Linked DNA regions of Sus scrofa. The protein of the gene in region 5 purifies or fractionates together with the protein of the main gene of each other region. This does not show direct contact. Links are inferred from orthologs where the notes say so. Each region holds a gene or a part of one and is shown on either strand. Other genes may lie near its edges.

Evidence for each region.
Region 1: the proteins of MECOM (region 5) and SUV39H1 purify together in Homo sapiens (affinity purification with western blotting; 3 studies listed by BioGRID). This does not show direct contact. The link is inferred for Sus scrofa from reciprocal best matches to the Homo sapiens genes MECOM and SUV39H1.
Region 2: the proteins of MECOM (region 5) and HDAC1 purify together in Homo sapiens (affinity purification with western blotting; 5 studies listed by BioGRID and IntAct, with this or other methods). This does not show direct contact. The link is inferred for Sus scrofa from reciprocal best matches to the Homo sapiens genes MECOM and HDAC1.
Region 3: the proteins of MECOM (region 5) and CTBP1 purify together in Homo sapiens (affinity purification with mass spectrometry; 6 studies listed by BioGRID and IntAct, counting the BioPlex papers as one, with this or other methods). This does not show direct contact. The link is inferred for Sus scrofa from reciprocal best matches to the Homo sapiens genes MECOM and CTBP1.
Region 4: the proteins of MECOM (region 5) and HDAC2 purify together in Homo sapiens (affinity purification with mass spectrometry; 3 studies listed by BioGRID and IntAct, with this or other methods). This does not show direct contact. The link is inferred for Sus scrofa from reciprocal best matches to the Homo sapiens genes MECOM and HDAC2.

What each region holds. Positions count from the first base shown.
Region 1 is NC_010461.5:42,803,276-42,807,862, reverse strand, and holds part of SUV39H1 (histone-lysine N-methyltransferase SUV39H1), read right to left. Parts: coding exon 4,445-4,587; intron 1,037-4,444; coding exon 936-1,036; intron 1-935. UniProt on the Homo sapiens protein: Histone methyltransferase that specifically trimethylates 'Lys-9' of histone H3 using monomethylated H3 'Lys-9' as substrate. Also weakly methylates histone H1 (in vitro).
Region 2 is NC_010448.4:88,782,693-88,786,334, reverse strand, and holds the end of HDAC1 (histone deacetylase 1), read right to left. Parts: intron 3,217-3,642; coding exon 3,108-3,216; intron 3,010-3,107; coding exon 2,879-3,009; intron 2,637-2,878; coding exon 2,484-2,636; intron 2,018-2,483; coding exon 1,969-2,017; intron 1,710-1,968; coding exon 1,682-1,709; 3' UTR 1,115-1,681; downstream 1-1,114. UniProt on the Homo sapiens protein: Histone deacetylase that catalyzes the deacetylation of lysine residues on the N-terminal part of the core histones (H2A, H2B, H3 and H4).
Region 3 is NC_010450.4:474,126-479,470, forward strand, and holds the end of CTBP1 (C-terminal-binding protein 1), read right to left. Parts: intron 4,280-5,345; coding exon 4,065-4,279; intron 3,414-4,064; coding exon 3,283-3,413; intron 2,913-3,282; coding exon 2,785-2,912; exon of another isoform or gene 2,303-2,784; coding exon 2,185-2,302; intron 1,991-2,184; coding exon 1,990-1,990; intron 1,949-1,989; coding exon of another isoform or gene 1,946-1,948; coding exon 1,763-1,945; 3' UTR 1,045-1,762; downstream 1-1,044. UniProt on the Homo sapiens protein: Corepressor targeting diverse transcription regulators such as GLIS2 or BCL6. Has dehydrogenase activity. Involved in controlling the equilibrium between tubular and stacked structures in the Golgi complex.
Region 4 is NC_010443.5:79,898,798-79,902,807, forward strand, and holds the start of HDAC2 (histone deacetylase 2), read right to left. Parts: upstream 2,801-4,010; 5' UTR 2,536-2,800; coding exon 2,484-2,535; intron 1-2,483. UniProt on the Homo sapiens protein: Histone deacetylase that catalyzes the deacetylation of lysine residues on the N-terminal part of the core histones (H2A, H2B, H3 and H4).
Region 5 is NC_010455.5:107,752,053-107,756,353, forward strand, and holds the end of MECOM (MDS1 and EVI1 complex locus protein EVI1), read right to left. Parts: intron 2,741-4,301; coding exon 2,606-2,740; 3' UTR 1,155-2,605; downstream 1-1,154.

The DNA.
Region 1 (4,587 bases), on a different chromosome or scaffold from region 5:
CTCTCTCCCCACCACACCGCTTCTCCCTTCCCGAGACCCAGTGCCCCCTGCCACAGCAGAGGCAAGCCTGAGACCTCCCTCCTGGCTCCTCCGGCCTCCGGTCTTGACCAGCCTCGGGTTTCTCCAGCCTCTTCCCTGCCTCCTACGTCGTCCCCTCCCACCTCTGCTCTGCGCTGAGCCCTGAGTGCTGAGCCATGACCCCCTTAGAAGCCCAAGGCTTATCCCTCGGGCCACAATGCCCACTGCCCCAGGCTCCAGCTCCATTCCTTGAGGAACCTGGCTCCCCCACACCCCAAATCTTTGCTTGTGCCCTTTCACTCAGGGGATTTTTAGGAGGCCAGTCCTGAGCCTGGTCCCGGTACTCAGAGGTCACGGCTGGGTCGGGGAGACACCGGAAGCAGGCTCAGTCCTGGCCCTCAGGGGTTAATGTCTGGTGGGAGAGTCGCAGGGACCAGGTCCCCTCTGGCCCTCACGGTCACATGCGACACAGGTCACTCTGGTGACAGAGATGGATGCAGATGCCTACGAGGCTTAAGAGTTGGAGGGGCAATGGGAAAGAAAGACCACCACTGAGGCGAACTGCAGATCATAAAAGGGATCTGACCAAGTTGAAATGCGGGGACTCTCTCCCGAGGGACAAGACAGGAGCCACAGACGCGCTGGAAGAGAAGTACAGCCAGGTCCGTTTCCCGCCACCTCCCAGAGAACACGGCGCTCTTCCTTGCGACGTCAGCTCTAGCAGATGTCACTTCTCTGTCCAGCTCTTCCTGAGGCTCCCAGTCCCCACCCACCGCCACCACCGCCGCCTCTAGAAGCCCCGGGATCAAAGGGCAGCCTCTCCCGGGGGCTCAGGAGCCCCCCGGGCCCCTCCCCAACCAGAGGGAATACGGCCACCCCCTCCCCAGGCTCCATCTTCCTGCCTGTCCTGCCCCTACCTGCTCCCTGAGTCTCCCCAGGAGTGAGTCACACCGCAAACCCTCCAGGGCACAAACGGTTCCTTCTCTCTTGTCTTCTTTTCAGTCCCACTCTGTAAGGGCTGAGTTGAGAACAAATCAGTCCAGGTCCCTGCTCCCTAGCAGTCCTCCGGAGGGACGGGGGAAGACGGACGGGCTAGAGGCGGGCAGCCGGAAAAGGGAACCAGAACCTCGGAGGCCACCTGCTGCTCTGCCCCCTCCCAGATACAGGATCCTGAGCCTTCTCTCTGCCTGTTTCCTCAGCGCCTCCCCCCCCAGAAAACCTCCCCCAAACCCAAAAGACAACACTTCACCAGATCGGGCAGCACAGGAGTTTGAGACACATAGGCTTTTTTTTCTTTTTCTTTTAAACCCACTCTCCCTCTCCGGGCCTCAGTTTTCACATCTGTAGAATGGGGATGACCATGGCCGTAATGCCCCCCCGCCCCCGCCCCGACAGGGGCGGTTGGAAGAACCCAAGATCAGGGGTGTGAAAGGCGTGTCTGTGTGGTTTTGTGTTCGGGGAGGTACCATAGCTGGTTGAAATCCCAACAGGCTCACTTAGTGCGTGTGCCCTTTCCCAGGAAAGGAAGAGCTGCTACTAATTAAATGATGATACGCCATCATTTAATTAAACAAATTGAGATCCACCTTCATTTCAGAGTTGTTAAAATATGAAGTGCGTGTTGCCGAATGGATAAAACACGATATGGTCTCTGCTGGGCGGGGGTCGGGCCGTCCCGGCAGAAGGCGGAGGGGCAGCTCGCGTGGTGGGGCTGTCGCGCAGGGGCGCGGGAGGACAGCAGGGTCAACAGGGAGGGTGCCCGGCAGGACAGCCTCACGGAATCAAGTCAATTCATATTTCTGCCATGAAATCTATGAACATGCACGTCAGGTGGGGTAAACAGACGACACGTGGGCCTCTACCAGGTCCAGTTGGGGTTTGTAGCCAAAGGCGGCACAGGAAACATTTGGCTTTCTGACCTTTTTGGATTTTTCTGAATTTTGGACCCTAACGGCCAACACTTATGTGGGACTTGCTGTGTACTGAACTCCATTCAAGGGCTTCCCCCAAATGCTTCACACCTCGGAACTCATTTAGTTCTTATAACAAGTGTATGAGGTGGGTGCGTGGGTGCTCTTATCTTCCCATCTTACAGATTAGGAAACTGAGACACAAAGAGGCTGGCCGCTGAGGAGGGGTGGAGATGGGATTCAGCCTCAGGCACCCAGACTCCAGGGTCCACCACCTCCCCCACCCCTCTGCCACGCTGCCTCATAGGAGGGGGACCCAGGAAGATGCATTTGGCTCTGGCAGTTTGGGGGCCTGTGGTGCTATTAGGAGGCCCCATAGGTCTGCAGATGCCGGGGGGTGGGGGCTGGAAGTCACTGAACGTGGCAGGAGGGAGACCAAGAAACAGCTTGAAGAGAATGTGTGCAGAGTGGGAAGAGTAAGGACAGGGAGGGAGGGGGTCCTCAGCAAGCCCTGTGTTTACAGCGTGGAGGAGCAAGGGCACTAAGGAAGAGTGGTGGGGACCTTAGGGTGCCAATGGGCTGTAGACACTTCCTCCCCCTCGCCTGCCAGGCCTCTCCTGCGCTCAGTGCCCCCCTGAGACCGGCAGTAGAGTGAAGCTAGGGACCCGCTGCTCTGGACCTCTTCTGCCACTGTGGGCCCCTGTGGGTGTGGCCACCTCCTCCCCCACCCTGGGGACATCCCTCCGGGGTGTGACATCTCCACACTGTCACTGTCCCTCTGAGGTCTCGGCATCTCCTCCAGAGTGTCAGGGCGCTGAGGGTGTGGACACTTCCTCCAGGCTGTCAGAGCCTCTTGGGTGTAGACCCGAGCTCCTTCAGACTGTCACTATCCCTCGGGGGTGAGGACACTTGAGTTTCCCGACTGTCAGGGCAGTGTGGGTGTGGACACTTCCTAAGTCAGACTGCCAGGGTCCTCTGGAGCGCTCGCTCTCTTCCTCAGGTGGCTCTGGGACACGGACACCTCTTCCTCCTACAGACTGTCAGGCCTTCCCTTCTCTAGACTGCCGGGAACCCTCTGGGCTGTGGCCACCTCCTCCTTCCTCTAGACTGTCAGGTCCTCTGCCATCTCCTCCATCCGACCACCGGATTCTCTGGGGCATGGACATGACCTTGTCCAGACCGTCAGGGTCCTCTGCAGTGTGGCCGCTCCGCCCCTAGCCGGTCTCTGCCCGCCCCCGCCCCTGCGCCGGTGCTCTGACCCTCTCTACGGTATAGTTCCCCAGAGCAGGAGCCGCTCCTCTCCATCAGTGTCATCACTACTGTGGAGACAGCTTCAGGTGTGTGTCCCTTAGGCCAATTCTGTCACTCCCCGGCCAAATCACACCCCCAAGAGACCTATGGAAATGGGGGGGGTGCTTGGGGGGTGTCATCGCAACAGGGCACACTCAGGGATTTAAATGATCACGGTCCAGGGGTATTTTATGTTCCCCGATGCATGAGATGGTCCCACGGCACAAAAAACTGCCCCACCTCAAGTGCCCACCGTGTCTCAGTGTAGAACGTGACACCTGCTGTGGCGGGCACTTGCTAGTTATTCACCCACACCCCTCTGGATTTTCCACTTGAGCATAAGGCTAAGTCACACTTCGCGGGCCTCTGCCCCGAGCTATGGCCCGTGAGTCGGTTCCCACCAGCAGGTGCACGCCGACATGACATGCGCACCGCGTCCAGGCCTCCCCGGGTCTGCCCCGCCTCAGCCCACCTGCCTCGCAGTGCTGAGGATCAGAGGCGGCTCCAAGGCCCTGAAGCACAGCAAAGGCACAAGAGGGAAGGAACCCGGGTGTCTGCGCCGTCACGAGGAAGGACACCACCTACAGGCCCATGCTGGGCTGGGAGAGGCGCGAACGGACTTCCAACGAACGGACTTCCAACGCACCACGCCGCTAAGCGTTGGGGTTGCCTGGTAGGGTGGGGGGGCCTGCCTCCTACAGCCGGCTCTCCAGAGCCGTGTCCAGAGGAGGAAGCCGGAAGCCGGCCTCCCCCAGGCACTCCCGCCCGCCTCCGGCAGGCCGTCGGCGCCCCGCTTGGGCGGACTAGCAAAAGGTGCTCCTCCCTGGGCAGGCACCGCTGGGCGGACGGCTGGGCCCTCGGGGGAAATGAGAAGAGGAAGTGCCCCGTCAGGTGACACAACCCCTCGCAGCCCACAGGGCCCGCTGAAAGGAACGCTGCCTGGATTTCGGTTCCCGCTTTTGCCCTTTGCTGGCTCCCCTGGGGAGGGAGGGCCGCCCAGCCCGGAGGTATTTCAGGGGGGCTTTACCCGCCTGCTTAGACCACTCACCCCGGCTGGGGTGGGGTCTCTCACACTGGGGTTCACCGCCCCCAACACCTCGCCCACCGCACCGGGAGTGCGGGGAAGCCGCAGGCACACAGAGGGGCGGGCGAGCCCGGCGCACTGCGCTTAGCGGTGGGGCGGCGACGGCGGCGGCGGGAACAGGCGCCCAGCCCCGACTCCCTACCTCGCCCACGTACTCCATGACGAAGCTGTTCTTGCGGATCTTCTCCAGTGTGCGGACACCCCAGCCGCGGCCGTCGTCCGTGCGGAAGATGCAGAGGTCGTAGCGGATGCCCTTCTGCACCACGCGGTTGGGGCAGTCGTAGC
Region 2 (3,642 bases), on a different chromosome or scaffold from region 5:
CACCCCTGAGAGCCAGGAGCCCCAGGCCAAAGGGGCAGAGGCTGGTGCTGCCTCCAAGGGCGGAGACACAGAAGAAGAGGCAGGGCCCCAGGCCACAGAGCCATCCACTCCCTTGGGGCCGGAGAGTGGCCCTACACCAGCCAGCGAGCAGAATGAGTAGCTGGGTGGGGGCAGGTGGGTGACCTCTAAGCTGCAAAAACTGTGCTGTCCTTGTGAGGTCACTGCCTGGACCTGGTGCCCTGGCTGCCTTCCTGTGCCCAGAAAGGAAGGGGCTGTTGCCCCCTAGCCACGTTCCCTCTCCTCTCCCTCCTGTGGATTCTCCCATCATCCATCTGGTCTTCCTCCTAAGGCCAGCTGAAGGTGGTCCCTTGCAGTCTCCCCAGTTAGGTTAGTGATGTGAAATGCTCCTGCCCCTGGCCCTCCCTCCTTCCCTGTCCCCACCCATGCAGAAGGCAGTTGCTGGTTTTCTCCCCCAATTCTTTTCCAAGTAGGTTTTGTTTATTCCCCAAATCCCTGAGCCAGATCTGGGGGTGCCTACACTCCCAAATCCTGAGTGTCCAGCCTTCCCCTGTTGAGTTTCTAGTCTCTCGTGCTGTGCCTAGTGGCACCTGGGCTGGGGAGGACAGAGCCCCTGTCTAGGTTTTTATAAATGTCTTACTCAAGTTCGAACCTCCAGCTTGTGAATCAACTGTCTCTTTTTTGACTTGGTAAGCAAGTATTAAGCTTTGGGGTGGGGGGAGGTCTGTAATGTGAAACAACTTCTTGTTGTCTTTTTTTTTTCCCCCTCCCATTGTTGTAAATAACTTTTAATGGCCAAACCCCAGATTTGTACTTTTTTTTTTTTCTTTTCTAACTGCTAAAACCATTCTCTTCCACCTGGTTTTATTGTAACATTTGGAAAAGGAATAAATGTCGTCCCTTTAGTGGTGCTTTTTAATGAGTGGTCTTCTGGGGTAGGGTAAGAAGACTGGTTAACCTCAAGCCTTGAGGAGGGTTAAGACAGGTAAGTCTGTGGGGTTTTTAGGTTGTTGAGGGGTTGCCCAGATCCTCGTGTACACTTAAGGGCAGGGAAGTGGAAGTGAAATGAACCCAGGGATACCACTAGGAGACAGGCTCAGGAGGGTATAGAAATGTACCATTTTATTACAAAGATTCGCACAAAAATGGAAATAGTATCTCAAAAAGGAACCTAGACTACCAATCTTCACCTGCAGAATTGGGGGAGGAAGAGAGGGCAGGCAGTGTGAGTTTCTTGGCTCACTGGGGGGCAGTGGAAAGGTATGAGAACAGAACCAATCTAAAAATGGCTGATGTTACCTTAAGGAGCCTGAAAAAACAAGGAATCCCTGAAGACCCAGTCAACCCTTCTAAAATACTCGACGAGGGCACCCTTTCAAAGTTATTAGTCACGTCAAGATTTTGTCCTATGGCTGCTTAGGTATATCCCTTCCACCTGTTATGGTTTGAAATTAAGAGGTGGAGAGGGATGGATGGTGAGGCAGCTATTAGAAACCTAACACGTGTGCCCTAGGCTCAGGAGCCTGGTTCCTGTCTAGTCCCTGGGGATATTTATATTTAATATATTTTTATATAAATACACAGAAATAGAAAATATAAAATCTGAGGGGTTGTGGGATAAAGACGGGGAACTTGGCAAGAAGCCAGAATTGGAGAGGTCTGTTCAGGCCAACTTGACCTCCTCCTTGACCCTGTGGAGAGAGCAGAGACTGGAATGAGATAACCCACCCTAGAGGCCTTGAGGCCAAGTATGGGTACAATGATTTCCATAGCGCCCGGGCTGCCCAGGTGACTGCTGAGGGCTGGGGCTTCCTAGCTCTGCCTAGAACTGCAGAGAAACACAGACTGGTCCCTGAAAGAAGCCTTTGTAAGCTGGACCAGCTGTCCCTGGTGGTGGGACAAAGGGGCTGGTGCTCCAATGCCAGGGAGATAAGACAGCTCCTTCCTTACCCTTTGGCTTCTTGCTTCTCCTCCTTGGTTTTCTCCTCTTCTGTGACTTCTAGAATATAAGAGAGCAGGGATGGCCAAGGGCAGCCCCTTTGGAAAGACCCATGGGATCTCCACTTACCCTGAAACCCTTTCCCCAACACTACAGCTGGCTGGACATACAAAAGAGAAAAGCCCATCCCAGCCCTCCAGGCGAGCCCTGTAGAGAACAAACAGGTCAAACCGGTTTCCCAGCCTGCTAGAGCCTGAACCCTGTGGGTGGAGGCAGCCCCCTGGGAAAGTGGGGTGGTATCTGAGAGCCACGCTCCTGACCACCGGGAGCCCAGGCATGTCCCTGGCTCTGGGGCCTGGGAGGGCTCAATCAGCCAGTGAAGACGAATTGAGTTTCATCCTTTCGGAGAAGAGGCCTACAGGAGCTGGCAGGACCCAAGTCAGCGCCCTCCTCCCAGTGTCCTACATAAATTCCTCCTCGAGGGCCTGGGGCTCAAGACCCAAGTCCTGGCCCAACCCTAACCCACCTTTCTTCTCTTCTGGGTCCTTCTCTTTCTCATCTTCTGTTTTGACTCTCTTGGCTTTTTTGAAGTTGGAAGAGTTCTTGCGACCACCTTCTCCCTCCTCATCAGAGTCAGAGAACTCTTCCTCACAGGCAATTCGTTTGTCCGAGGAACAGACTGGGAGGTAATGGGAAATATGGGTGAGAGAGAAAATTCTTTATCTCATGGTCTGCCCAGTGCTTTCCTGCATGTTCCCCAAAAGACATCAAAAGGGAAAGGAAGCTAGACTCCTTAAATTATAAGCACAGGACCTCGAGTTTCTCAACAGGTGGTAGCTTGTGGAGAATGTGGAGCCAGGAACAATGCAGGGAAGACAGAATTGCCTACAGAGTGGTAGGGTGGGGGCCCCTGGGTCTCACTTGAGATGCGCTTGTCAGGGTCTTCTTCATCCTCATCGCCACTCTCCTCTGGAATGGCATCCTCAGGAATGGCCTGCATTTGGACCCCAGGTGCATGGGGCAGCATTCTCAGGTTCTCAAACAGTCGCTGTCTATGGCCAATGGTAGAGAGGTGGCTGGGCTCTGATCAGGGACCAATCAGAGCCTCGAATGTTAAACGAGGGGTGTTGGGGTGGGGGGATATACTCACTTGATCTTTTCCAGGTACTCATTAGTGTTCTGGTTAGTCATATTGGAAGGACTGATGTGAAGTTTGAAATCTGGTCCGAAGTATTCAAAGCAGTCGTTGTACGGAAGCTCTAATTGGGGCAGGGGGTGAGAGAGTCAAGAGATCTGGTGACCATGGGACCCTGAGAAAAGCATCTATAGGTTTATCTGGACCTGTCAGCCCAACTATCAAAGAAGCGTGCCTCCAAGATAGGGTGAGACTTGGGTACCTATAGGATTTCAATTTTTAATTTTTTTTTTCTTTTTTGGCTACAACCCCTTGGCATATGGAAGTTTCCAACCCAGGGACTGAATCCAAGCCACACCTGTAACCTATACCACAGCTACAGCAATGCCAGATCCTTAACTCCAGGATTTCAGTTTTTTAAAAGCGACTCTCCAGTGTCCACTGGAGGGGGAGTGGTGTGTGTGTGTGTGTGTGTGTGTGTGTGTGTGTGTGTGTGTGTGTGTGTGTGTGTGTGTGTGTGTGTGTGTGTGGGTGTGTTAAGGATGTGGCA
Region 3 (5,345 bases), on a different chromosome or scaffold from region 5:
CCCTTACTTGGTTTTAGCTCAAGTGTGGTTTCCACCCCTTCTAAACTTTCTCCGGACAGTTGGGCCCCCGCCCCGCGTCATTCCCCTGACCTCGGGAACGGGTCGCCCTCCTTCTCACTTCGGACCCTCACTGCACTTGTCTTATTTATTTTACTACCTACTAAAGCGCTGTTGAACTTGACACTCTCTACGGTGCCTTCTAGGACCCATTCCAGGTTGACGCCTATTATTTATTCACACCCGTAGTTCACAGCCTGATCCTGTCCCTCTTCTTCCGGCTGCTTTTGCAACACGGACGCGTGTGTCTGGATCTCGGCTTCTGTTCTCTCCTGAAGCGGGTACCGAAGCTCTCAGCCTCTCCATTACCAGCTCCCAGCTTGTCATGCCGTCTTTTCCCTGCTGTTGACGACTCCCTGGAGGCCAGCGGGTCTCTGCAGAATTAACTCTCCCTGCACCCCAGGGATGACGGAGGGCAGAGCCGTGCCCTCCCAGCGGAAAGGACCACAGACGCAGGGCCGAGGTGCAGAGCAGAGCCCGGGGACAGGCGGCGTGCCACGAGGGGAGCTCACCCGTCAGGGCGTGGCCGGACCGAGGGTGCCCTCCAGAACCTTCCCACCGGCAGGGGTCTGTAGACGGCCGCTTGGCAGGACCACCAAGGACGCGGCCCTGGTGCAGGATCCGAGGGCAGTGGAGGCGGAGGACCAGCTGCAGCCGTGCTGGTGGCGGAGGGGACACGCGGGGGACGGGGTAGCCCCTGAGGACGGGAGGTGGTGCGAGGAGGACCAGCTGGTGCAGCCGGAGCGTCGGGACAGGCGTCCCGCGAGCTGCAGAGCCAGCGGCCTCTGCCGCCCTGGGGCGGGGGGTGGGGTGTGGGGGGGTCCCAGGTCCCAGGCTGCCCGAGGGCGCACCGCCTGCGTCTTCTGCAGCAGCAGGGTCACAGCCCCCCGGGCTCCCCACTGCAGGCCCAGGGCCACCACAGACGGGACGGAGACCCACCAGGGACCCGGGAAACAAAGCCGTGAACACAGACGCTGGGCGTGCCGGCTCTTTCTGGGATTTTTATTTCTTTAAAATAATTCATACAAATGGTTACAGTCACAAACATGATTTTAACCAAAATATTGCTAGCCTACCACATCAGCAGGACGGCTCCGCTCGGCGGGCGCGGGGCCCTGGCCCCCGGGGCAGAGGCGCACGCTCTGCCCGCCTGGCGGCGCCGCCTTCGTTTGGAACAAGGGGGTTCATGCCAAAATTAGGAAAGACAGCCTGGGTGTTGCTTTTCTAAATTATCCTAAAAATAAGACAAGCAGGTAGAAAAAACAATGCACTGTGTGGCGTAAAAAGAAAACCGGAGGGATTCATTGTCCTGAGAAGTTTGCCAACTGCCTGGTCCGGGGCGCGCGGCACTCACGGGGCGGCCTGGGCGGACGCCGGCGCTCCCGCGGGCGTCTCTGCCGACAGCTAAGCAAACAAATCCTTGTAATGTTCTAGAGACTGTGCACAGACGGGAACATTCATGACGGAATTAACTACGAACTGCTTTTGCTTAACAAGGACGCGAAGGACACAGGGCAGCGGCTGGCCCTCGGGACGGGACAACTACAGTGACGCGAGGAGGCCGGCGCCACCTCTCACCACCTGGAGCCCGGGCCATCTCTGGAGGCCGCGGCCGCCCGTCGGCGCTGCCCCTGCACACGCCTGTCCGAGGGCGCGGCCCCTTCGGCGCTTGCGGCGGCGGCGAGGCTTCGGAGCTCTGCCCGGGTTACAACTGGTCGCTTGCGTGGTCTCTATCCGCCTCGGGCTTGACGGTTTGGCCTGGAGAAGGCGCGTGGGGCGGGTGGGATACAGGGGGCAGGCCGTGGGACAGGGACATGGCGCTGGGGACAATGCCTTCGACTGCGGCTGGGATGCCACTGGGGGCCACGCCTACCACGCCCGGGGGTACCTGCTGGGAGAGGAAGGGCCGCAGGTGAGGCCGGGGGCAGGGACCCTGGGCTGTGGGCCCAGCGGAGACGGCGGCAGAGGCAGGTGGCGGCCTTGAAGGCACCCCCGCCCTGCCCCCTCCACGCCCCCCGGGGAACGCCCCCCAGGGAGCTGGTCTTGTGGCCACCAGGCCCCGAAGGCTGCCCCCACGCGTGTCACCCCAACCGTCCAAGTCCAGGCCCCCGCCCACCGGGGGCTCACCTGTAGGCGGCCCCGTTGAGCTCGGGGTGCACCACGGCTGGGTCCACGCTGGCCCAGTGGGTGGCTGCTGCCAGGTGGTCCTTGTTCACACAGTTCTTCAGGCTGTCAGGGATCCGGCCTGGAGACGGCACAGACAGGGACAGTGCCCACGTCAGCTGCCCCCAGGGGGACCCCAGGAGCGTGGGGGCTCGTCGGTGGCATGGGCCACCCCCCTAGGAGCCACAGGGGCCCCGAGGAGCACTCCCGAGGCACTTTGGGATCCTGCCTGTCTGGGCAGCGTCACCCTTGTGGCCCGGGGCCCCTCAGCTCATCAGGGTCTCCGAGCCCATCTGACGGGCCCGGGCATCTCCCGGAGAAGCTGGCAGGGCCCAGCCCAAGAGGTTCACAAGCACAAACCGCTTTTTAAAAGGCGGAGAAAAGATACACGTGCAGAAAGCCCTGTGGGACAGTGAGTGTCACGAGCGTGACACCAGCACCTGGGGCTGTGCGTGTGCAGGGGTCCCCCATGGGGGCTGGTCTCTGCGCAGTGTCCCCGCCAGCGGAAGATGGAGGCGGCCCCCACGAGGGCCTCGGGCCCACCCGCCGCCGGCCGCCGCCCACCTGTGATGGCTCTCCGGATCTCGCGGGCCGCCTCCTCCCGCATCTCGATGGAGGCCTGCTCGCTGTACCAGGCTGCGTGCGGGGTGCAGATCAGGTTGGGAGCGTCCTTCAGGGGGCCCTGGCTAAAGCTACACAGCACGGGGCAGTCAGAGCGCCCAGGCGGGCAGAGGGTGCCCACCCCGCCCAGAGCTGGAGCTACCCTCCGTCTCCCCGGCCCCCATCAGGCGCAGGGACGCGAGCATCCTGGCCCCGCAGCCCCCGAGACTCGGCCGGGCCCTGGGAGGAAGGTCTGCCTGCCACGGGACCTCAGGCTGGGGGCGAGGCCTGAGTCCTCCCGGGCCCTCGGACCCTCGGCGGCCTGAGGCCAGGACTGGAGACCGTGCATGGGCAGTGGGGCCACCCCCCGCCCCCCCCGGCGCCGAGCAGCTCTGTGGCCAGCGTGGGGTGCGAGCCGGGGCAGGGGGGATCTCGGCGACGCCAGGGCGTCACGGGAAGCACCTGAAGGGCTCCGACTCGTGCACGTCCAGGGCCGCGCCGCGGATCCGCCCCTCCTTCAGCGCCTGGGCCAGCGCCTTCTCGTCCACCAGGCCGCCCCGGGCCGTGTTCACCAGGAAGGCCCCTTGTCTCATCTGGAAGACAGAGACCGTGTGACCTGAGGACCCTCCCCAGACCCAACTTCACCCCCAGACCAGCTGCTGCAGGGCTCGGCTGCTGCCCCTCGGTTCAGGTGGCTCTTCTCGTCCCTGTGGGCTCCCGCCCGTCCTGGCCTCACGCCACGGTCCCCGCTGCTGTCCCCCCAAGGCCCCAGCGGCTGCCTGGCCCTAGTCACTAGCCCCACTGTCCACGGGCAGACAGCACACACACCCGTCCCCACACACACACGTGCCCACAAGTGTCCGTAAGCACACCTGCACCAGGCAAGACCCCAGCACACGCCAACATCTGCACAACCTACACGCACAGAACGGCCGGCGCGTGAACAGTGTACACGCGCGGCCACACGCGCGCTCACACGTAAACACAGGACATGTGCACACACACGTGGGTGGGAGTCGTCACCCAAACTTCTCCACCGCACGCGGGTGCGCTGTGCCTGCAAACACGCGCTGTGCATACAGCCACCTGGAAGGCCCGGGGCCATCGGGTCAGGGAAGGAGGCCCCAGGATTCGGGGGGCCCGGTGGGGGCGGTGGCACCAGCAGACCGGCCACCAGAAGCCCGTCTGCCCCTGACCTCGTGCGCCCAGGCTGCACCCTCGCCCCGTGGCCGCCGCCCCGAGACCTGCTTGACGGTGAAGTCGTTGATGAGGTGGTGGTTGTGCTCGTTGAGGCCGCAGTGCAGGGTCACGCAGTCGCTGTGGAAGAGCAGGTCCTGCAGGGTGCTGACCCGCTGCAGCCCCAGCGCCCGCTCCGTGCCGTCCGCCAGGTAGGGGTCGTAGAAGAGCACGTTGAAGCCGAAGGCCTTGGCCCGCAGCGCCACCGCCTGCCCCACGCGACCTGGGGGGACAGGGTGTCACCGCAGCCCCGCCTCGGCTGTCCCGGCTCCCCAGGGCAGGGGCTCCACTCCCAGATGCAGAGGGCCACCGAGGCGGGCCAGGGGCTGCAGGCTCAGGACCGGCCCCGCGCCCTGGAGCCCGGGCCCCTGACCTCAGCTGCTGAGAAGGACACAGGGGCTCAGGGTCCCTCCTCCAGAAGGGACTCTGCCCTGGTGACCACGGGCTGCCACAGTGGAGGCAAAGCAGGGGACCTGGGCAGGCCAGGAGCCGGGAGGGGTGCCACGCCAGGGCTCTGCTCCTGGAGGACGCGCTGCCTCTCGGGCCACAGCAGCCCTCAGGGGACCGCTCTGCTCTGGGCAGCAGGGCACCTGGAAGCAGGCACTGGGCGTCCTGGGAGGGGTGGGGCGCGGGCCGGAGCAGAGGCTGGGGCTGCGGTGCCCAGCGCTAGTTTAGCACGGCCTCCGGGACCTCCCACTCGGCTGGCTGGTCACCTTTACTTTTCATTTTTTCTCTCTTTATGGCCACGCCCACAGGAGTGACCCAAGATGCTGCCGTGACAACGCTGGATTCTGAACCTGCTGCCCACGAGGGAACTCCTGCGGCTGGTCACCTTTGGACCGGGCACCGAGACCCCTGAGCAACACCGCCTGGGGGTGATGTGGCCCAAAGCCATTTGTCCAGGCAAACCGTCCCCCAACATGCCACGTGGGCCGGGCTGTCCCTGCTCTCACACCTCACAGGGCTTGGAGGTGGCAGGGCTGTGGGGCTCGTACCAGCCCCAGCGTCCGCGTGCGCACGCCTGGTGCATCAGGGAGCAGCGCTGGGGAGCGACACCGCGGCCCACAGGCAGCCAGGGCCCTGACCCCTGCACCAGCGCAGGCGCCTCTGCCCCCCACGCTCCCCTTGGCCACGGAAGGCGGTGCCGCGGTGGAGGGCCGGAGCCTGTGGGAAACCAGGAGGATGGGTGCCCGGGATCTGCGGGGAGGTGGCACAGAAGAGGGTGGACGGTGCCACGTGACCTCAAGCGCAGGCGCTCCTGCCCCTCAGGCCGCAGGCCCCTCCCTCCA
Region 4 (4,010 bases), on a different chromosome or scaffold from region 5:
CACTACTTTTATAAACATAATAGGGTTTTTGTGGTGATGAGAATGCAAGCTTTTGGAATTAACTACACACAGCGTAATATACTATCATATACAAAGAATTAGCATAATGATACCTATTCAATTTAATAACCTCTACAAAACATGTTATTACCCCCACCTCCCCAAAAAGAACCCAAAGCAAATTCCAAATATAAGCAACTACAAATTCCATTCTAAAAATGAGGCAAGGAAGAGCCAGAGACAAAAGACAGATAACCTAACCAGGGATAGATATCCAAACATTCGGTTAGTTATACACCTGCTGTTGGCCATCAAATAAAGCTTTATAAAGGTCCACCATAAAGTACTGACTAGGTCACAATCACAAGACTACTCTTTCTATCAAGTCTGCATCCTGCCCTTGGGACCACAGCTTGCTCCCATTCCCTCAACAAAGGCTCATCATAAATGGGCCCAGGAATATACAGCTATTGATAAAACTGACGCTTAGGTGTACCTCCTGGTTCTGCAGTTCAAGCCTGGTGACCACAAGTTTCAAGCAGCTTACTTCTCCAGAGCCTATCACTGTCAGCAACTAACAGCTGTAGGAAGAGCATTAGCACTAGTTACTCCAAACTTTTAAAACCTTTGTCCTTTACCCCAAGACCCGACAAGAACAAATCTCTAAACCTCAGAAACAATATTGTTTTAAAAATTAACTTACACATATTGTTATTTACTTTCCAATTTAGCCAGGCAATGCAAGGAAAGGCCAGTGACTCAAAATATGCATGAATTCTTAAAGAAAGAACTTTAAGAAGCCTTATAATAATTCACGTTAAAATTAAAATATATCCCTCTCTCCACCCCTCCATAACGGCATAATTTCAGATCAATCTGTATCACACATATAAGCGGACTTCTCAAAAAACAGGTCTTTAAAACATGGCTGTTACTACTGAGTATTGGCTACCAAATACTGAACTATTTAAATTTCTTTTCCAAGATTTTAGATTTTTCCACAATGACACAGGTGGTTATTTCATATAAACAGGCATCAAAATAATTTATCCTTGCTAACTTGAGATATGGTACAGCTATTTTAAAATTAAAGGCAGATTTATTCTGACCTAGTCCTCTAAGATCTTTCCACCACTCTTTAAAACTTTGTGATTTATAATACACTGAATGTGGCAAAAGCATCCAAAATTTGTATTGCTTCATTCAAACTGGATAGACCTTTTCAGGTCATTGAATCTAGCTTCTTTGTTAAATTTTACAATTTCTTTCTAGGAACTATTTACCTACTTAAGTTAATGCCTTTGTGCAATCTGTAAAGCAGCTAACTACTCTGTTTAGTGTAATTTATAGCATCCGGATTCAAAAAGATTTAATGTTACTGCTCAAACTGCAATTGAGAAGAACCCTTTAAATTATATGACTTTTACACACTGTTCCATGAGCTCAAGACTATCATTATTTATACCAATTTCTGCACTACTCCTCAAAGTTTTCCTGCACCGCGACTCCCACCACCTAGAAATAGCCTTCGCAAGCTAGATGCCAATGCTAGCTTCCCTACACCTCCAAAGCAGGGTATATTTCCCGATCAAACAAAGAGCAACAAAGAAGTGGGTGGTAACCACCTCACAGAGGCAAGCCAGGACCCATCGGGTCTGAGCTGCAACACAAGCAGCAGCAGCAGCCCCACGCTGCCCTACCACCGTCTTAATTTCCCGAGAAGACTGACTACCTCCAACTCGAAAACCCTCATTTTTATTGAGGAAGTGAAGCTTTTTCATTTGAATGCTAAGAAAGTGGCGCTCAAAGAAAGCGGCAAACAAAGGAGAGGAAAGAAGCCCAGGCAAAACAGCGGTGTGAGTGTACCCCAAAGCGGACGTGGGCCCCCACCTTCAGGAGCTACTCTCCGCTACCCACCCTGGTTGAGGGGTCTGGGGAGAGGCCGGCGCGGAGGAGGGGACAGCCTTTCTCCGGCCAGCCAGGGACGGAGGGGAGGGAGAGGTAAGGAGGGATGGGGGCGGGAGGGGAGGGATGGGGGCGGGAGGGGCGGAGCTCTCGCGGCCGTCGGGCTTTGTGTGGAGTCTGGGCCGGGGAAGCTGTTTTGACCCGGGGGGAGGGATGGGTACAAGGGGCCGGTGCAGAGCACCCCCAAACCTCCGCTCCCACGAGTGGCGGGCGGGAGAGGCGCGCGGGAGAACCGTCTGCTTCACACCAGCACGAAGCCTGGTAGGCCGGCGGCAGTCCGGACTGCCGGAGGAAGACGGCCAGGAGGGAAAAGTGGGGCGTCCACTTAGCCCCTGGCCGAGACTCCTGGACGGCGCCGGGTCGGGAATGGGTTAGGATGCGGCCAAACATCGGTCCCTCCTTCTGACCTGAACCCTCGCACCTGGGACCACTCGCGACGGCTGCTGCAGAGCCCCGTGCGGCTCGAGGCCCGGCGCCGCAGCCCTGCCCGCTACCCTCCCGCCAGCCCAGCCTCTCACCATCATAGTAGTAGCAGACTTTCTTCTTGCCGCCTCCCTGACTGTACGCCATGGGCTCCCCGGCCACCGCCGCCGCCGCCGCCTCCGGGCTCGGACTCCTGCTGCTGCTGCTGCTGCCGCCGCGGCTCGGCGCCGAAAGAAAAGGGCTGGGGTGAAGGTTGAACTGGCAGTCCTGCGGGGAAAGGCAGGCCAGAGGGAGGCGAGGAGGGGGTGCCGGGAGGGCTCGGTACCGCCCGGCCGAGGGGCCGAGAGCGCGGACCGGGGGGTGGCAGCGGCGCCAACTCGCGACACTGGGGAGGGGGAGGGGGCAGCCAAACCACCTCCGGAGGCCGAGGGGAGGTGGGATGCATCCACTGCGACTCCACGGGGGAAGAGGGGACACGACCCGAGAAAGAGGCCTCTTCAGTCCTGGGTAAAGAGGCCTCCTAATGATGAGCAACTTGCAGAGGGCCGCTCCAAATACAGTCGTAAAATGATTTTTTTTTAAGGACAGGCTTTCTCTCCGTAAGTGGGTGAAGGAAGCGTGGAGCCGGATAAACGCTCCCCCCTTCGGCTCTTCGTACAGTGGTTGCGCCTATCCCGAGCCTGCGCAGTCGGCGCCTCCTCAACCGTAGCCCGGGCGCTTAGACCCCTTCCGCGACGTCCCACGCCGCTCCCCTCCCCCACTGTCGCGAAGCTCCTGCCCGGGCGGACCACGTGCTGCAAGCGCCGCAGGGAGACCCCTCTCTCGCACTCCTTTGGCCTTGCCGAATCCTCCAGGCAGCAGTCCACGGACCCTCAACCGAGTCTGCTTGAATTTCATTTATTTTTTCATTTTTTGCTGATTTTTGCTCAGAGGTTCTTATCTATTAAGGGGACCTGTTACAGATATTAAGGAGTGGAATGTACTGCCTAGGTTTGAATGGGCATTTTATGGAATGCATTTATGAGTTAGACAGGGTTCTAAGCATTTGCATTTATGATAGATTTCATTGATACCCATTTGTAATAGGTACCAGTTAACTCATTTGAGACGCCCAACAACGCTGGGATGTAAGTATTATTTCTAGTCCTTCTTTATAAATGGAGCATATTAAGGAAATTGGTCTTCTCAGATGTTAATGGTCTAGGGTTTGATTTGACTTTCTCCAAAATCTACATACCCTAGCTACTCCGTTATTACTGCTTCCGCTGGCTGGGCACTGGAAGATTGGAGCAGAAAGCTCAGAGAAAGGACTTTCAAAACTTGGAATTTGTGAATACCTTTGTCACTGTGTCAAGTCAACATTTATCAAGTAGCTACTCTAAGCCAGCCACTTTATAGGGGATTGACAGTCTGCAAAGGAGAACTCTTAGCTCACTCTACCATTTACAGTTTTCCTCAAAAACACACTCCTATATCCCCATCAAAACAACAGCAAAAAAGGCCATATTAAAGTAGGAACCAGTCAGAATCACTACCAAGATCCTCTTTATTTTGCTATTTGACTTCAAAATCCCCAAGTAGTACATACTTACAGCAGCAATTTTCCTGGACCTTGCCCCCCA
Region 5 (4,301 bases):
CCACTTTCTCAAATGCGATGTTCTTACATCTCAAACACTAGATTCTTCTTCTCCCCAGTATGGACCAGATTTATAGCTTTAGAGTATTTTCTGAGTACTTCCTCCACCCACATTCTATTTAAAAAATCAACACTTTTACCGCATATATTTAATTCCTATACTACAGACATTTAAAAAGGATGTGAGGAAGTTTCTCTCTGTATCTGGCATTGTGGCTAAGAATGAATAAACAAACAAATCAATTAGATCTACTTCTATGTTCCATACTTATTGAATCTGCAAGCCTAGTTAAAACCTCTACAGCCAGCCACATTGAAATAACCATATTCTAAAACCACTGGCATCGTACTGAATGTACAAAAAAATATTCAAAATGGCTCCCCCATGAGAGAATTTATCACACAGAAACACCACGCTTCACAGTCCAACCCTGTGTGTACATATACGAACACTCAGAAACAATTAGGTGCATGAAAATTAAAATTGCATACATTAGGGAGAAGCAAAAAACAAATTTTCAACAAAAAATGAAATAGTTGAAGAACTCATAGTAGATCAAACCTGATGGAATATTATTAGAGCAACTGCAAAATGATTACTTTGAAGAAGTTACAGCAATATGCAGTGGATTTTTTTTTTGTAAAGGAAAAACTTAAAAATCACATCTACTCTTTGATTATAGCCATAAAAACATGATATTTTGCATGTGGACACAGACTTGAAAGGATCATAGGAAAGTTAAAGGGTCCCACCCCCTCGTGAAGGAGTTAACAGAATTTGGGTAATTAAAAACAAAGATAAGAAACAGAACACCTTTTGGCACACGTTACATAAAATCGAGAAGAAAAACTGTACGTTGCTCTGTCCTAACCAGAATGGGTGCCAAAGATGTGGACTGATCCCAAGGACCATGTAGCACCTGAGCCTTGGCTTTGCACCACATGGAGAAAGTCCAGAACAATGAGCAGGAGACAGTCCAACTCCCTCTGGGGCAAGGGCTATCTTTCATGTCATCTCAAAACTATACACACATGCTCTACATTCCACATATCTACTAGGGCATCAAGGTCCCAGGCAGCATATCTTTAAATCACTGGGTCCCAAAGGGAAACCAAAATTGCATGGGAAGGGAAACTACCAGACTGGAAAAAAAATAACCATTTTTATAAGTCTTTATTTTTTAGTTGCTCCTCCCATAGTAATGCACTGAAAGGCATAACAGTTTATATTGTACAAAGCATTTGAAGAAAGTACCTCAACTTGCTGATTATTTCAAAATGAGATTACAAACAAAGAGAAAACAAATCTGGTTCCTCAATAAAGGGCAAAATAACTGAATACAGTCTGTTATTTACGTCTCTCTTTTAACATAAGGTCTGGAACACTTCATTTTACAAATAGGATTAACATGAACATAACATCGCACAAGCTTGCAGACAACCAGCATAAAATATGGGGTACAGTTTTTAATCAGAAGAATCATGCTTTCATGAAAGAAATTATAATCGTTTATACAACTGAATCAATTTCAGTATTACAAAAACTAAGTTGCATCTATTCGTAGTTAGCTCATTAAGAAGGAAAACAAAACAACAACAAAAAGGAATGTTACGAAAAGCCAAACACCATTTGGCACTCCCATACACAGGTCGAGTCACCTTGGTCCTTGAAATTCAGAAAGGGGTGTGCCTCGGATGTCAGAAAGTAGTGGCTGACTGGAACAGTGCTATTTTAATCAACAAACAATAGTTTGCCAACAAATAAATACATGATACACGCAACACACACACAAAATTAAACATTAAAAAACAGTGACATGATTGTCTAAAATTAAGATGTTATTACAAGGATTTGGCAAACCTATTCGTGTAGTGGTACACCGGTACTGGTGATGAACAGGCTACTTCACTGACGTAACCTCTTTGAGCATTGAACATCCATAGTTTACAATATACACATACCCTTTTCCCCTAGTTTTAAACAATGTACTTAAGAAGGCAAAAGTTAATAGGAAACAAATACTCCCTGTTATCAGTTTCTATAATAATCAAGTGTGCATTTCATCCAACTACTTCTGTCTTTGAAGGGTTAAATTACATAAAACTTTAACAAAGCAAAAAAAAAAAAATTAAATCTGTAATTAAAAGCAACTGTTCCCAATCATGTGTCAGGTGATCTTGTATAAAAAAAGAATTCAGTTTCTATGGAGTGTTCATTCCTATCAATGCTGCCATCTCCACCACCCTCTCACCCCCCCACTCCCAAGGGCAAGATGAATTGGAAGATGCCTTCTGCCCAGCAAGTTTTTCACTTTTACGGAATCACTTTAAGTCGCATTGATCCACCAGAAGTCAGCAGCTGCCTTTGCTGTGCAAAACAAAATATCGAGAATAAATAGTTTCTTTTTCTTTCTTTCTTTCTCTTTCATTCTTTCTTTCTCTTTCTTTTTTTTTTTTTTCAATCATTCAGTTTAAGGTCCCCAGACTTTACATGAGTGACCCTTCAGGTTTCTAAGGCATTCTGCTCAGCAGTCTTTTAAATAGTCCTACATGAAAGAGCCATGCTACTGTTGGACTTGGTCCCACTCTGGTCGACCTTGGGAATGTCATACGTGGCTTATGGACTGGATGGCACTGGATTCCGCCGCAGCCCTGGCCATACTGTGCCACATGCTGGAAGAACTGTGGGATGAAGGATGGAGGGACTCCTTGTCGGACAATGACAACATCATAGCGTATGCCTGGGGTGAAAAGGAAAGACTCGGTAAATGGCATTTATTTGAAAAGCATCACTTTATAAATTTGAAGGCTACCACGGGTGAATGTTAGGAAAAGAAGGGACCCCGAGCAAGAGCATCTCTTGTGGGTGTGTTTGGAAAAGTGCGGGGCATTTTTTTGTGGTTATAATGATATGGAGTTAGTGCTGGCCTTCAGCGCCTTGGGGCCACAAAGTGATGCAATCTGCAGAACAACAACAAAAAAATAATGATCCTACCTAAAGTGTCAAGATTGCCTCTATTAAGAAACAGGAATCACCCCCTCCCCAACCATAAATACAATAACCATCCATCCACTGTTCATGCACATGTGCAACTCACCAAAAACATTACTGCATACTTATGACTGTAACTACAAATACAAATAAGAGACAGGCCTGCCTTGATAGCACTGAGGTCTATGGAGGAAATAGTCCAGCCGACTCCTGCACTTGATAACTGAGAGCACAAAAGGTGAAACAACCTGTCCAAAGCCACTCAGCCAGACAGTGGAGGATGAATAAGTGAAACATTTCTGCCCAACCTTCAACCCGGTGTCCTCTCTCCACTTTCTCTCCATGCTTGAAACATACAATGCTGACACCCAAAGACCCTGAAAGCTGAGATCGATCTAGTCGGTTCTACCAAAAAAACAGAACAAAGCGCAAGACCCAGCAAAGTTCTAACCCCTGTGCTCCAATCCCTGCCAAGCAGGAGGTGCACAGTGGTGCTCTGTGAGGAAGTTCTCTTTCTCCCCTATTATCATGTCAAATCCTACATGACTGTTCAGAGAATCCCCCCATGTGCTGCCAAGTCAAATATTCAAATGAAATGTTTGGTCTTGACTTGTGGGTGAACTTTTCACTGTTGATTTGCTATTGTTGGTCTCATCCACTGCTAAACTTGCTTGTCAAAATGCTGCTGAAGTGGAATCACTAAAGTCCTGCCAAAGACATTCCACTGTCGGTAAACAAAGACAAAATGCCTCTGTTGTTAAGCAGAATTTCATCTCTGGGAGTCATGCTGAGACATGTGGCCGGTCTGTGGTTTCTTCTGTAATCATGGCATTCAGTTAGAAAATCTGCCCTCACAGGCTGATTTTGATTTGCTGGGTCATTGCTCTAAATGTATACATTTGACTTTTATGTAGGCAAAAAGTTGCCTTCGGGACCTCTACAAAATCTCATCAGCAGACATATCTTTCTTAAGCATCTACTCCATGCCAGGCACTGTACTAGGTCCCAGGGAATCAAGGATAAATAACATAGAGTCCTTGTCCTTTGCAGAATTTAAAGGATGGGTGAAGTGAGCATTGAACTTTATTTGTTCTAATTATGTACCCACATTCAGAGATCAAGATAAAGAATATTCCAAAATGATTTTAATAAAACTCATTCTGATACGTGGAAAGAAAAAAGAGAGTACAGAGAAAATTGATAACCTTTCGAGGTCACTTTCCTCAGATGAAATGTGACTAAAAACAAAGACCTCCAATAGTTACAGAGGAACCACAAACACTAACTTATATAAAGTGCTTAGTTCAGCG